4 linked regions of the Cricetulus griseus genome follow. The protein of the gene in region 1 purifies or fractionates together with the protein of each later gene. This does not show direct contact. Links are inferred from orthologs where the notes say so. Each region holds a gene or a part of one and is shown on either strand. Other genes may lie near its edges.

What was found.
Region 2: the proteins of Mtf2 (region 1) and Jarid2 purify together in Homo sapiens (affinity purification with mass spectrometry; 3 studies listed by BioGRID and IntAct, with this or other methods). This does not show direct contact. The link is inferred for Cricetulus griseus from reciprocal best matches to the Homo sapiens genes MTF2 and JARID2.
Region 3: the proteins of Mtf2 (region 1) and Ezh2 purify together in Homo sapiens (affinity purification with mass spectrometry; 10 studies listed by BioGRID and IntAct, with this or other methods). This does not show direct contact. The link is inferred for Cricetulus griseus from reciprocal best matches to the Homo sapiens genes MTF2 and EZH2.
Region 4: the proteins of Mtf2 (region 1) and Ezh1 purify together in Homo sapiens (affinity purification with mass spectrometry; 3 studies listed by BioGRID and IntAct, with this or other methods). This does not show direct contact. The link is inferred for Cricetulus griseus from reciprocal best matches to the Homo sapiens genes MTF2 and EZH1.

What each region holds. Positions count from the first base shown.
Region 1 is NC_048600.1:2,858,834-2,861,157, forward strand, and holds part of Mtf2 (metal-response element-binding transcription factor 2), read left to right. Parts: coding exon 1-46; intron 47-155; coding exon 156-260; intron 261-1,688; coding exon 1,689-2,046; 3' UTR 2,047-2,324. UniProt on the Homo sapiens protein: Polycomb group (PcG) protein that specifically binds histone H3 trimethylated at 'Lys-36' (H3K36me3) and recruits the PRC2 complex, thus enhancing PRC2 H3K27me3 methylation activity.
Region 2 is NC_048596.1:264,432,505-264,436,537, forward strand, and holds the start of Jarid2 (protein Jumonji), read left to right. Parts: upstream 1-1,207; 5' UTR 1,208-1,355; exon of another isoform or gene 1,356-1,405; intron 1,406-1,753; exon of another isoform or gene 1,754-2,162; 5' UTR 2,163-2,321; coding exon 2,322-2,366; intron 2,367-4,033.
Region 3 is NW_023276806.1:222,346,805-222,351,030, forward strand, and holds the start of Ezh2 (histone-lysine N-methyltransferase EZH2), read left to right. Parts: upstream 1-1,391; 5' UTR 1,392-1,486; intron 1,487-4,226. UniProt on the Homo sapiens protein: Polycomb group (PcG) protein. Catalytic subunit of the PRC2/EED-EZH2 complex, which methylates 'Lys-9' (H3K9me) and 'Lys-27' (H3K27me) of histone H3, leading to transcriptional repression of the affected target gene.
Region 4 is NC_048600.1:114,246,841-114,250,407, reverse strand, and holds part of Ezh1 (histone-lysine N-methyltransferase EZH1), read left to right. Parts: intron 1-667; coding exon 668-708; intron 709-1,266; coding exon 1,267-1,392; intron 1,393-3,567.

The sequences.
Region 1 (2,324 bases):
AATCAGTGTCAGAGAATCCTGCGTTGGATTTACCTTGTTCTATAGGGTAAATAGTTAATTTTTTTCTCTCTTAGGAATTTTCTTTATGAGGGAATTAGTATTTTTATATTGTTATGTAATATAGTTGTTATACCATTTAAATTCTTTTGTCTCAGGAGAACTGAGGGAATTGCACATTCATCCAATACCTCAGATGTGGACCTCACGGGTGCTTCCAGTGCAAAAGAAACTACCTCATCTAGCATTTCCAGGCATTATGGGTAGGTGTTTTATGTTCTTATTCTGGCCCTTAAAATCCACCCACCCATCCATCTATCCGTTTATTTAGAGACAGGGTTTGTGATTCTTTCTGTAGACCAGGCTGGCCTTGAAACTCAAACATTGGAACTCCTTGCCTCTGCCTTGAGTGCTGGAATTAAAATTTTGTACCACCATTGCCTGGGGTAGGTTTTGTGTTTTGTTTTTTAATTAAATTAATTTTTTTTCTAAAAGCTTTGTGAGACAGTGATGTATTATTTGGGGGTGACTTGCAGCTGTGTCACTCTCTTCCTCCGCCTGACACCCCGACACCTCCCTCTGCCCCTTCTCTCTCCTCTTCTAAACCTTCTATGTGAGCCTTAAAAAAATAAAAAATAAAAAAAGGCAGCTGTGTCACTGAGAAGCCGTGAGTTGACAACTCATAAAAGCTCTGTCCCTGGAAGTCCCTGCATAACTTGTAGATAGTTCCAAAAAGAGTTCCTCCCCAGTGCATTCCCCCTGTTCTTATAACTGAAGGGGGAGTCTTGGAACTTTCTATGCTTTCTGAGTCTTATGAGTTTCCTAATTTGGTTTCCTTAGCTTACTAACCCTTTAAAAAAGTTTGCTTGTTATTTCAAAATAAAAATAGAGATGCCCCAGATGGTAGAGGCGCACCTTTAATACTTGAGCGCCTTTAATCCCAGCACTCAAGAGGCAGAGGCAGGCAGATCTGTGAGTTTGAGGCCGACCTGGTCTACAGGGTGAGTTCTAGTACAGACAAGGCTACACAGAGAAACCTGTGTTGATGTCCCCCTCCCCATCCAAATACAGACGTGCGAGTGTGTGTGCGCACGCACGTTCTCGAGATCTCGCAAAAAACCCCCCCCATTGATTTATTTTGGATGTGGGTATGCACAAGCATGTGTGCATAGAGGTCATGAAGTAGTCGATGCTCTCCTTTCATCTTATTGGTTCTCGGGGTTGAATTCAGGTTCTCAGGTGTCTTTATTCACTGAGCCATGCTTTGATTTGCAACCCAGTCCAACCAGATTTGTGTATAGAGATATGTGCTCTGGCCATTGTATATAGTAAGCTGTACACCTTTCTGTTGCCCCCAACCACCTTTTGTGTGTGTGGGGGGGGATGGGGAACGAGGACGGGGGCAGATTTCCATGTAGCTCTGGCTGTTTTGGAACTCACTATGTAAAGCAGGCTGGCCTCCCAGAGATTTGCCTGCCTCTGTCTCCACAGTTCTGGGACTGAAAGTGTATTGCCACACCTGGCTCCTGTTAAGAACTTTGGTGTTTGCATTATACAAGTGTACCTTGCTTTAGGATGGTTTTATATTTTAAACATTTGAATCAACACACACAGCCCTTTTCAGGTACAAAGATTCTAAACTCTGATTAAGAAAACATCTTAGAGACATGTTTTTTTTTTCCCCACCCTAGATTATCTGACTCTAGGAAAAGAACTCGCACAGGAAGATCTTGGCCTGCTGCAATACCACATTTGCGGAGAAGAAGAGGTCGCCTTCCAAGAAGAACACTCCAGACTCAGAACTCAGAAGTTGTAAAAGATGATGAAGGCAAAGAAGATTATCAGTTTGAAGAAATTAACACAGAAATCCTGAATAACTTAGCCGATCAGGAGCTGCAACTCAATCACCTGAAAAACTCTATCACTAGTTACTTTGGTGCTGCAGGTAGAATAGCATGTGGTGAGAAGTACCGAGTTTTGGCTCGTCGGGTGACCCTTGATGGAAAGGTGCAGTACCTCGTGGAATGGGAAGGAGCCACTGCATCCTGACCGCAGGACTGAACATAATGTTCACTGCACTCACATTCTGTGGTTCAAAGCCCTAAAAGAGTGTGGGCTTTACTATCTTTCTTAAAAAAACAAACAAGCAGAAAACTCAAAAAAATTCACAGAAGGAGATGATACTAGCCTTAACATGTACTTGTCAATGTTATGGATGTTGTCATAAAAAGATATCTTTTAAAAATCAGAGGAGAGACTTAATTTTTTAAATCTTAAGATTTGTAGAATGTTTCTAGGATAGGATATTAAACATGATTCAAACCCAT
Region 2 (4,033 bases), on another chromosome or scaffold:
AAAGGTGTGTCTGCAGGTGGACCGGGGAGGGGCCAGCGTTTTCGTTTGACTGACGCTAACCTGGCAGATTTGAAAAAGAGGACCTCTAAGACCCCAAGTAAAGACCAGGAAATTAACGCAGACGCCGGGAGACTTGATAAAGTTACTGCGAGTGCGAAAGCCCCAGAGAGCGACAGCAGGGCCTGCGATCCATTGATCTGAGCGACTGACGAGCCTGGGCAGGGGCTGGGGCAGGTAAGGCTGTGGGGCACAGACCGTTGGTATTTCGGGCACTCGGTGTTCGAGACGCTTCCTTGCGGTCTGCGTGTGTGTCGCTCGGGCTCCGTATTCCGCTGGGTCTTTTTTTTTTTTTTTTTTTTCACCTCAGCGTTTCAGTCTTACTCGCGGACAGCCCTAGTCCTCAGGGTAAAGACCCCCTTAACCGTCTTCACAGACAGCTGGGGCTTCACCTCCGAGCCACCAGCGACGGCCTAGTGTCGCGCCGGGCGGAGGCTCGCGGGCTGGCGACCGCGGGGCCGCGTGCCCGGTCCGGAGGTCGCCCTGCCCTCCGCCTCGCGCGTGGGGTCGCGAGTGGCCACGGGCCGGCGGCAAAGCCGTGACCTCGGACCACCCCGGCCGCGCGCCGCTGGCTCGCCCGCTCGCCCGCCCGCCCGCTCCCTCCGCACACGGGCGCGAGGCGCTGTCCTGAGGTGACACCGCCTGCCACGGCAGAAGCAGCAGGCGCCGCCGATCAGCGAGTTCGCACCGAGGATTCCTCTTGGTGCGTGGCCCAGTTTTGCTTAGGACCCGCTCCAACCCCTCGCTGACACCGCCCCCCGCGCCGCCACGCTCCGAGGCCTTCCTCGGGGAAGCCTGGCGGCTTTCCCCTCGCGGCCCGCGCCCCCGCGCCCGCGCCCCTCGCGCCCCCGCGCGCCGGCGCGCGCGAGCGATTCCTCGATTCCACAGGCGGTTCGCGCCCCGGGTGGGGGCGGGGCGCGCGGGCCTGGCCGGCCGCCTGCGGGGAGGGGACTGGGGGCGGGCCGGCGTGGGGAGTTCCTCGCTCGCGGACCACACGCTCCGCGGGCCAATCCCGAGCCAGCCTCTAGCAGTGTCGCACGCGGGACACGTCCAAGCGTTTGTTGGCAGGGCCGGCGAAGGGGGAGGGGGGGGCAGATCAGGGAAGGGAGTTGAGTGACAGGCGGTGCGGAGCACGCTGGGAATTGTAGTTCCTAGCTCCCGTGGCCATAGCCATTTTGTAGTCAAGGGACTACAACTTCCAGAAGATCAAGGGGACTGTTCTAAGGTGCCCCGGGAATAGGCGGCTCTCCCCCGGGCCGGGCGTCCTGGGGCACTGGTACCCAGCTGCCCGGCTGCAGGTAGACGTGAGGGCAGCGGCGAGGGTTTGCATGTGGCGGCCGGCCGTGGGGTGAGCGGACTGCGGGGAGGGGGGGAAGGGGCTGAGGTGGAGCGACCGAGCGTGCCATGCATTGAGTCTAGGGAGCCTCTCTCAATTCCGTGCTTGGGGTAGGAGTGGGAGAGGCGCCTGACGGGCGGTCCGCGAAGGAGTCGCGGAGGCCTCTCCCGGGTCTGGTCGACGGGGCTGGGGGTTTCTTGTGCACGGGGCCAGGGCTGGTGGGCAAAGGGTAAGCAAGCGTGCGGGGGCTCAGCTGTGGGAGTTTTCGGCTGGCGAGCGGCGGGGAATTAGCCGAGGAGCCCTAACTTGTATAAAAGCAGAGTCCATTTAAAGTTGGGCTGGATAGCCTGTCTCTCATTGGTTAGGGGGCTTGGAAAAAAGAGACTCGGCGAGCCCTCCGCTGTGGTGCTGCCGCCGCCGCCGCCGCCGCTGGAGTTGACTCTTCTGCTCGCACTGCTGCTGCAGCACAAACGTGACTTCCAACATTTTAAATTTATCCTTCCTTTTTCTTTTCCAAGATGTAACTACAGATCAGACACTAAGGACCTTCACGTTTCGCTGATGTAGTTTTTGGAAGAAAAAGGGGGGGAGTGAAGGGCGTCGGTTTTTTTTTTTCTTTTTTCTTTTTTTTGTGTCTCTGTTTTGTGTGTTTCGGGGAAAATTTTCCATTATGAGTGTTTTACTAAAGTGAATTTTTCTTGTTTGCTTCGTTCGTCTTTGGCTTTTTTATTTTTTCTTTTATCCTTCTCAATTTCGGATTTATTTCAAGGCGAATCTGGCTTTGGGGGAAGAGGAAGAAAAGTCGGATTACAAGATCAACCACCACCACCAACAATAAAAACCACCAGGATATTTTTTTGCAAATTTCTGACGGCTTTAAATTCATGAAGCAATTGTTTCCTTCTGCAATCAGCATTTCGATCTCAGAATGAGCAAAGAAAGACCCAAGAGGAATATCATTCAGAAGAAATACGTAAGTGCTCCTAATAACACATCCTTTGGCTTGCAGTTGTGAGCAATGGTTGTGAATGTCAAGTTTATAGATAATTCTGCAGCTCAAGTGTTTTAAACATAGCGTCCGATAAGGCTGTTTCTTTCTTTTCCCAAAGAGCTTTTCAGGCAAAGTCGTGTCTGCCTAGTTTGGTTGAGAAAACAGACTGGTGTAGAGATACCTCAAGTGAATAAATTGACCTGGAATGACACAACATTAATGTAGTTTTAGATGAAAGGCAAGTGATTTTGGTGGAGGTTGGGGCTCTGTGTGTGGGTGCCTGTGGTAATATAACTAAACTGCATTCTCGGGCGGATTTGGCCCCATACTGCACTTTGCATACAAATGAGCCTGTTCTTGGTGTTATTTGGAAAATCGTGTAAGGTGTGTGTGTTGGAAACCCTTTAAGTTGCAATCCTGGGTCCGATTAGAGCGAGCTTCTTGCACTGGCACATCCATTTAATATATGTGGTCATTTTGGCTTATCTAGTTTGCAACATAACTCAGTTGGGAATCATGTTACAGGGACTGCATTTATTGGTATTGACTTTAGTAATGAGGCTGATTTTGGTTTTGTTTAAAAAGAATTCATGGTTTCTGGGTTTAGGGCAAAAACAGAGCTAATGTTTTTAAGTATATATGTGTGTGAGTGAATGCATTTGTGGTCACTACAAATTTATTCTTGTTAATTGGGTTTCTGAAATTGGGTTGTAATAGTTAAATTTGTTTTGTGCATAGTATAGCAACGTTTTGCTCGGCATAAGGAGTGTTTTTGTTTTGTGTAGTGGCCCTTTTTTTCTTTTTTTGGTAAAGTTTTGGGGGGAGGGAGCAAAGAAGGGAACCAGGGGATTAACCAAATATGCACTCGAGTGATCCGGTGGTTAGCTGCATATGCTTAGAGCAAATAACTCATCTCCCCCCCCCCCCCGAAAAAAGGCCCTCGAAGATACACATAAAGAACAATGCGATCCTATAAGAAAGTTTTATATAACTAGAGTCGATAATTTGGTGTTAGTATTTTTCCCTTTCTGTGTGGAGTGTATAATGGGAGATGACCTTCGGGGCAGTGCCTCTGTAAAAAATATATTTAATGGAGAAAACCTGAATTCCTCTTCCGGAGAGCTGATTCTAATCTAGACACGTAAACTTAACTATGAAAGAAACGCGAGATTAAATAATGAAGCTCAACTTACAAAGCTGCTCCATAAGGAATTTAAGAATTAAAATACATCCGCATTGCAGAGGGCTGGGTAGATCGCTAAGGACTAGTTTAAACTCAGTGTGTAGAAACTGCTTGGGCAGAGCCTTGCCTTGGAGAGTCCGCCTTCCCAGAACATGTCTGTTTCTGATGTAGCCACAAAGGAGATGAGGTAGAACTTGGACAAGAACCCTCCACCCTATCCCGGACCTTGATAAGTTGGAGAGTACTGTGCGGTAGGCTTTTTTGTTGTTGCTCGTGGCCAGCGGATCCTGGCGAGTCCGGGCATCTGGCCGCAAGCCGATGTGGCCGCCGGTGGAGGCGCGAGGCAGAGCACGAGTTGCCGTTGCGGGAGCCGAGTCCGTGCTCACGCCGAGCTCCGGACGCAGCGCGGGCCGGGAGGGGTGAGCGGGGCCCGCGGCGGGCTGGGCCGGGGCCGGGGCCGGGGCCC
Region 3 (4,226 bases), on another chromosome or scaffold:
ATACTGATGATTGTTTGGTATGACTGCTAGCATTTGTCACATGCACTCTGGGTGTACATATTTTGTTTGTATTTGGACATAATTGCATTTTCTCTCAATCTTAGAGATTCTAAGCATACTTCTCAGCATTGGATAGTTTCAGTACACATGAAGGACTAGATGCTTTGCTGCTATTCTCGGTGGTCAACTTGACTATATCAGGAATTAACTAAAACTCAAAGAGGCTGGGTGTACCCTTCAGGGATTTTTTTAATTAAATCATTTGTTTTTAATCTGGATCTTTTGAGGTGGGAAGTTAAACCTACTTGTTTTAGCTCCAGGTGGCAAATCCATTCTCTCACTGGCAGTATATTAAAGACCAGTCAAAGACATCCAGGTTTGTGGAATGAACTAATACTGGATTCTTGGTTTTCTGTTGGTGGACAGCAATTGTTGGACTAGTTGGTCCACAGGCTGTAAGCAATTCTCATATATCTCCATCTTCATCTACACACACACACATACATATATATTCATTTTATCAGTTCTGATCCTCTAGAGAACCACGACAGATACATAACTCAATTTCCAGTGTTACAAATTCTCAGTCTTAACTCTTCATTATTGAATCTGTTTTTACGGGTCTATGGGATTTTGCCATACAGACACATATTATTAAAAGTGAATTCGGCCGGGCGCTGGTAGAGCACGCCTTGAATTCCAGCACTCGGGAGGCAGAGGCAGGCGGATCTCTGTGTGTTGGAGGGCCAGCCTGGTCTCCAGAACTAGTTGGAGGCCAGCCAGGGCTACACAAACGAAGCAAATTCGAAGTTTCTTTCACTCCAGCTGCCAGATAACGCAACAGGGGTTAAGAGTGTATACTAAGCACATTCCTAACTCCTCTTGGTTGAGACAGAGGGACTCCCAAGGTGGTTTTCTAACCCTTGACAAACGTTGCAATCTTCCTTACACACTTTCCCGCGACAGCAGGGGGTAGGCGATCTGCTCTCCGAAGTTGTTAATAAACAACCTGGAGCCGGACAAAGCTGAGCAAACCACAAACACGGCTTGTTCAGGAGAAACCCGAAGTCACCGTCCTGTTGCTTTTTTCTGACGCGGCCGGGACTCTTGGCGCCAGCCGGTTCTGCGAGCCAAAGACGCCGAAAGGAACCGCGCTTTCTCTGCCCCGTGGGGTCCGCCACGCGTCTTCCTGTGCGAGCGAGGGGCCCCGGGGCCCAGCCAGGATGTGCACACCAGAGATGGCGGTTACAACTGTCACCTCCCCCAGATTTGAACTATTTCAAACTTGGCTCTGGCGCCCGCCCGCTCGCTCGCCCGCCCCCCCTCCCTCCCCTCCCCCTCCCCCTCTGGAGAGCGGTTCCCGCCAAGGGCAGGCCCGCCCTCCGGCCGGTTCCCGCCACCGCGGCCTCCCCGCCTCCTCTCATCACAGCGGGCTTCGAGGCCTGCCGAGTGCCGGGCCCCGGCCTGCCCGCGGCGCCCCCGACAGGTACCCGACGCCGGCACCAGAACAAAGACGGCGACCGGGGGGCGCCTTCCACCGCGCAAGCCGCTCTCCTCCTCCTCCTCCCTCCGCCGCCTCCTCCTCCTCCGAGCGAGCGAGCGAGCGCCCGCCACTCGCGCCCGCGCGCAAGGCTCTCAGCGCGTCGGGCGCTCTGATTGGACGGGCGCACTCCGGCGTCCGCCAATCGGGGCGGCGCTTGATTGCGCTAATAAAAGCGATGGCGATTGGGCTGCTGCGTTTGGCGCTCGGTCCGGTCGCGTCCGACACCCAGTGGGACATCGAAGGCAGCGGAGTGGCGGCGGCGCGTGGGGGCGGCGCGCGGGAGCGGCGCGCGGGAGCGGCGCGTGGGGCGGCGCGGGCGAAGGTAGCGCTCGCGACCGGCGGTGGGCAGTGCGGGCTCCGAAACGCGGCGCCCCGGGGCGGCGGCGGCGGCGGCGGCGACGCGCGGACCTCGGCGCGGGTGCCCGGCCGGTCTCCGGCATCGCCCGAACGGGGCTCCCTCGGGCGCCGCTTTTGTCGGCGCGGGGCCGGCGGGGAGGGCGACGGAACCTTTCCGAGGGGGCCGTGAGGTGCGGGCCGGTCCACGCGGTCCCGCGAGTGTCCTGTGCGGGTCCCTGGAGATCGAGCGCACGGGCGGGCGGGGCCGGTGGCGGGGGCTCCTGTCCGGGAGACCGATCCCGCCCGGCCGGCTGGGGCCCGCGTCGGGGCCGGGGCCCGGGGCGTTCCTGTGGCCGATCGGGACCGGCAGCTGCGAGCCTCAAGTCTCCTTTGTGTGGCGGGCGGGCGGGACGGGACACCACACACAAGTTGGTGGGACCGAGCGGAGTCCGCACTCAGACAAAGGACGGACTGTGTCTCCGGAGCGGAGCGGAGGGGAGGGCGCGACCCCCGGGGCTCCCGCCGCGCGGGTGGGGGCGTGGGGAGGCGCGAGGCGAGCGCGAGTGGGCAGGGCTCGCCTTTCGGGGCGGGCCGGGCCGGCCGGGCTGGGCTGGGCGCGGGGTGGGGGCGGGCGGGCGGGCGAGCAGCTCTCGGCACCCGGCACCGCCGCTGCGCTTCGGGACTGCGAGCGCCAGCGAGGTGGGACCTCCCTCAGCCCCGAGGCTGACATTTCCCCGAGAGCCGCGGGGAGCCTCCTCGCCTGGCTTTGTGCTAAGTTCCCTGGGGACAGTGGAGCTGCGCCCGGGGCTCTCGGTGGCCCCGGCGCGGAGGGCTCGCCTCACGGTGCATCGCCCCCTGCGCGCACCACAGGCTGTGCCGCGCGCGGGGCGACTTTTTGGGAAATGGGAGAAACTGAGAAAGCACGGGCTTTCTTTCTCCAAACTTGGTGGGCGTTTCGTGAGTTCCACTTTCTAAAGAAGAGTAATCTTTTTTTTTTCTGTTGTTGTTTAAAAAAGGGGCTGTTTAGGCCAACTTGTTTGCTTTTGAGAATGGCGACAGGTGCTAACGAAACCAACTGTCATTTACTCAGCGATTATTCCCCGAATCTCCAGGGGTTCAGTGTGGAAGAGATGATACAACTGGATGATCGAAATAAAATGCCCACGAGAAATGTGGGCTTAGACTGTAGTAGGGTTGACAGTTTCTTATTAGTGGGTCATGTTTTCCCTTGAACAATAGCTTTGTTGAGTCAGAAAAGAGGTTTGCTACCCAAGAAATTCGAATGTATTCTGGTCACAATTCCATGAAACTTCCTTTGTTTATTACATACGATCTGTAGAACCTAAATTCATTTGAAGTAAAGAATCTGCCTTTGATATTTAAAATACTTTACTACAAGGCTTTCTCGGTTTCAAAAAAGTCGTTATTAGTTTAATTTTATGGGGTTTTTATGTCACATAAAACATTTGAAAAATATTTTAAAATGCTAATTCTGTCACAGTTGAATGTAGTTTATATTTCTGGCAATTTTTGAATTTATTTTCAATTACCTTTGATTAATGGACATTAGCAGTGAATCCATATTTAGAAATAAAATATAAAGCACTATATTTTAAGCAATTTACTCATAATTTTATTTGCAAAAACGTGGAAATATTTGGGTCATAATTTAATTTCCTGTTCTTGTTCTCCCAAGTTGGAAAAGGATTGTATTCTGGTCTTAAACGAAAAGATTCCTGCTTTTTCTCTTTGGAGTCATATTAGAGAATGAGCTATTTAAAGCCCCAGAAACACTTAGGAAAATTGCATCCTAAATTATTATTTTGATGGTGCTTGAATATACTTCTTAAAAAACAAAGCAAAAGGAAAGCACAGGCTCTGCTTATTGCAGTGTTTTATATAATGAAGACCTAAAGTACATTTGCTAACTTACAGCTTCATACAAATGGAGAGAGACAAAGATGCAGTGTCAGATCTCTAGTGCTTCAGATTTGTCAAGCAGAGCATCTCAGAACAGACATTCCAGTGCTGCTCTAAGTGTTGAAACTAAAATAAGATTTACATTTATTTTAAAGTCCTGTTGATACTCTCATTCATTATGACATGAGCTAGTTGTGTAGAATTTTGGTAGAAACTTGGGTGTTAGACTTTAAAAATGCCAGTTTTGCCTGAACATGTGACTTGCCCTATCGTTGACATTTGCTATTTTGTACTTGCAACAGATATTTTTTAAAACCTCTTTTTGAAGAATTGGCTAAGATTTTTGCCTTATGTTTTGGTAGAATTGACAGTATTTTTAGGCAGTCTAAATAGTGATGGAGAAGAAAGCCACTTGTTGATTTACTGT
Region 4 (3,567 bases), about 110 Mb from region 1:
GGCGACTCTCTTCCCCACTTATCACCTCTCAGGAGTTTGTTCCTTTTTTTTTTTTATCTAGATATTTATATGTGTTGTTTTTCAGAATCACATAACTGTGTATATGGATTGGAAGTTGAAGAAAGTTTAGTAGCTAGACATGGTTAATCCCAGTACTCAAGAGGCAGAGGCAGAGGCAGATGGGCCTCTGTGAGTTCAATGCCAGTCTGTTCTACATAGTGTCAGGCCAGGCAGGGCTACATAGTGAGACCCTGTCTGAAAATAAAACTATCACTCTGACAGACAGCCAGATTCCCTGATGTGTATTGGTAGCCAGGGAAGGGAGGTGGCTCTAGCTCCAGATACAAAAGCTGTTCTGTCTCTTTCCTGTCAGTTTCCTCACTGAAAGACTTTCCCACCTTAGAGCTCTGGCAAAGAGAACGAAGGAAAAGGAAGGAGCAATAGGAAGGAAAAGGAAGGAGCAATAGTGTGATAAGAGACAAGTTTGTGAGTTTTTGCTTTGTTAGACAGGCTCTAGATTCAGCCGACCAAAGTAGGTGCCTCCTTCTAAGGAACTCTGGAAGGGTACCTCAAAGTTGTCAAACTGTCCCTCAGAGCAGGGCACACTGTCATTTGTCTGCATCTACAGAGGATCGGGATTCAGACCTATCCCGTCTCTCTCTCCTAGGTTGTGGGCCGCACACTGCAGGAAAATTCAGCTGAAGAAAGGTGAGTTCAGTGGGAGAAAGGCCCCCACTTAGAGTAGAGTGTGTTCTTAGCGTGTTCAAGATTATAGGCTCCATCCTAGGCACATGCGCACATGCGCTCACATACACAGGTACACACAGTTCAGACTGAAGCCTCACCCTGTGGTTTTCACCCTGCCACACCTATAGCTCTCTTGTTGACCCTGGCTGCTTCTGCAGATTGCAGATTTCTTTGCAGCGTCTCAAGGGCTGAGCCAGTGGCTACAGCTAAGATGCCCTCTCAGGAGATAAACTTAAGGCCTTGTGGTCTCTTAAGTTTCCTAGTGTGCTGTTTGCCAGTGCCAGACCTCTTTTCATGTTTAGAGTAGCTGCCTTGTTATCTCTGGCCTTCTCCACACCCTACCCACAAAGCAGATATCTCACATGTTTATGTACAGGGGTCAGCTACTTTATCAGGTGCTAAGTGTGTCTAAAGTCATGATTAGGACAAGCTTACTTTGACTTGGGGCACTGGAACATTTGGAGAGTAGGGCATCAAGGGAGCCTGGTCATAGCAGTGTCCTTCTCTATTCTCTTCTAGATAACTCTTCTACACAGGTGTATAACTACCAACCCTGTGACCACCCAGACCGTCCCTGTGACAGCACCTGCCCCTGCATCATGACCCAGAATTTCTGTGAGAAGTTCTGCCAGTGCAGCCCAGACTGTAAGAGCACCCTGCTTTCACCATCGTCTACCAAAGTGGTTGGCCTTGGAGTCTCCAGGCTCCCTTCTGCCCCATAGCTGCCTGTAGACCTTTGATATCCCTTTGCTATGGTTCAGGCATCCTACAGGGCAGGAAGGTGTGAGCCACTGAAAAGTTGTGGGGGTTGGTTAGTCTATTTTTAATTTTAAAACATTATTTTATTGTTTTATGTATATGAGCGTTTTGCCTACATGTATGTCTGCATTGTGGGCATACCTGTTGTCCAAGGAAGTCAGAAAAGGGAGTCAGATCTCTTGGAACTAGAGTCACAGACAGTGTGAGCCACTGTGTGGGTGCTGGGAATCAATCCCAGGTCCTCTGGAAGAGCAGCCAGTTCCCCATGCTGATAAGCCATCACTCTAACCCCTGTTCTACTGTATAAAAGCACCCCAACTCCTGGGCTCTCAAAGTCTCTCCTTGCTCTCCCAACTCTTCCCCTTTCTCCCCTCCCCACTCTCTATATTTTCAAGCAGTTTTCCTTTCTCCACAGCTTAGATAGCTGAGGTTACAGGGATGTGCCACTTTTCCCAGCTGTGAAAGTCAGGTGGGGAGTCTGGAAATAGGAACTAGATATGATGCTTCTCCCATCTTCTCCTTTTAGGGAGAACTGAGAAACAGGAGTTTTTCCTACGATGCATTCACAGTCTCCTCTTTCTTTAGGATGTTGTTTTTAAAAAGTGTTAGGGCTGGAGAGGTGGCTCAGTGGTTAAAAGCACTTTCTGCTCTTCCAAAGGACCTGAGTTTGGTTCCCCGCATCCGTGGTAGGCAGCTCACAACCATGTGTAATTTCAGTTCAAGGAGACACCTGACACTTCTGTCCTCGGGCATCCGCACACACTTGGCATACACATACATATAAATAAATAAAAATAAAAGTGGGAAAAAAAGGTTATATGGGTTGAGCATGGTAGTATGTAACTAACTAGGTCTGGAATTCTACTCTGGGAGTCTGAGGCAGGAGGATCAGAGTTCAAGGCCAACCTGTGCTACTAATGAAATCATGTTTCCACAACCGCTATCACCTGCAGATTTGTTTATCTGGATGCAGTGTTACCTACCTACCTACCTACATACATACATATCTCTAGCATTGCAAGAAAGGCAGGTGAATCACTTGGACCTAGACTAAAACCCTGCCTCACAAGAGGGGGAAGAGGGGGAAAGAGAAAAAAGAAGGAGGGCTGGTGAGGTGGTTCAGCAGGTAAAGGCAGCAAAACAAACTTGCCAGGAAGCCTGGCTTAGATCCCTGGAACCACATGATGGACAGAGAGAACTGCTTCCTGCGTTGTCTGTCCTCTTATCTCCACACACGTGAATGGCAGGGTGTGTCTACATCTCTGTACACACCCACTAAATACATAGAATTTTTGTAAAAGTTTGAAGAAAAGAAAAAGAATATACACAGCGAAGTCTTTTGGGATTTTGAGAATTTTTGATAACCCAGGCCTAACCTTGAACTCCTCATCCTCCTGCCCCTACCTCTCAGCTTCTGGAATTACGGGCATGTGCCACCACAGCGGACCCATATAGAGAATTCCTCATGTTTGTGTAATAGCTGAAGACTGAGTGGTTGTGGTTCTAGGGGTTGCACCTATGACTCTACTCTGTTTATACTCTACTCTGTCTATACTCACTCCAGCTAGAGTTCTTTAGAACACATTTTTCCCCCACAAATATTAATTGAGCTGGGTAAAGAGCCTTTATTTCAACATACTAGCTAGAGTTTATTTTGTTGTTATTTTTTGTTTTGTTTTGAGACAGGGTTTCACTATGCAGTCCTGGGTGGCCTTAAATTCACAGAGATCTACCTGCCTCTGCCTCTAGAGTACTGGGATTATTGACGTGTGCCACCATACTTAGCTGAGGAGTTAGACTATCTCGTAGAAGGAGCTGGAATGGGTAAAAGTGCTTGTAGAAAACTCTGGGTTCCCAGCACCCATATCAGGCAGCTTAGAAGGAAATAACAGCTTTAGCTCCAAGGGATCTGATGCCACCTTTTGGCTTCCAAGGGCTCTTGCACTCAGGTGCACATAGTCACCCACAGATATACACACATAATTAAAATTAAAAATCAGTATGTTAGGGCCTGAAGAGATGGCTAAGTGGTCAAAAGCAGAAAACCTGGGTTCTGTTCCT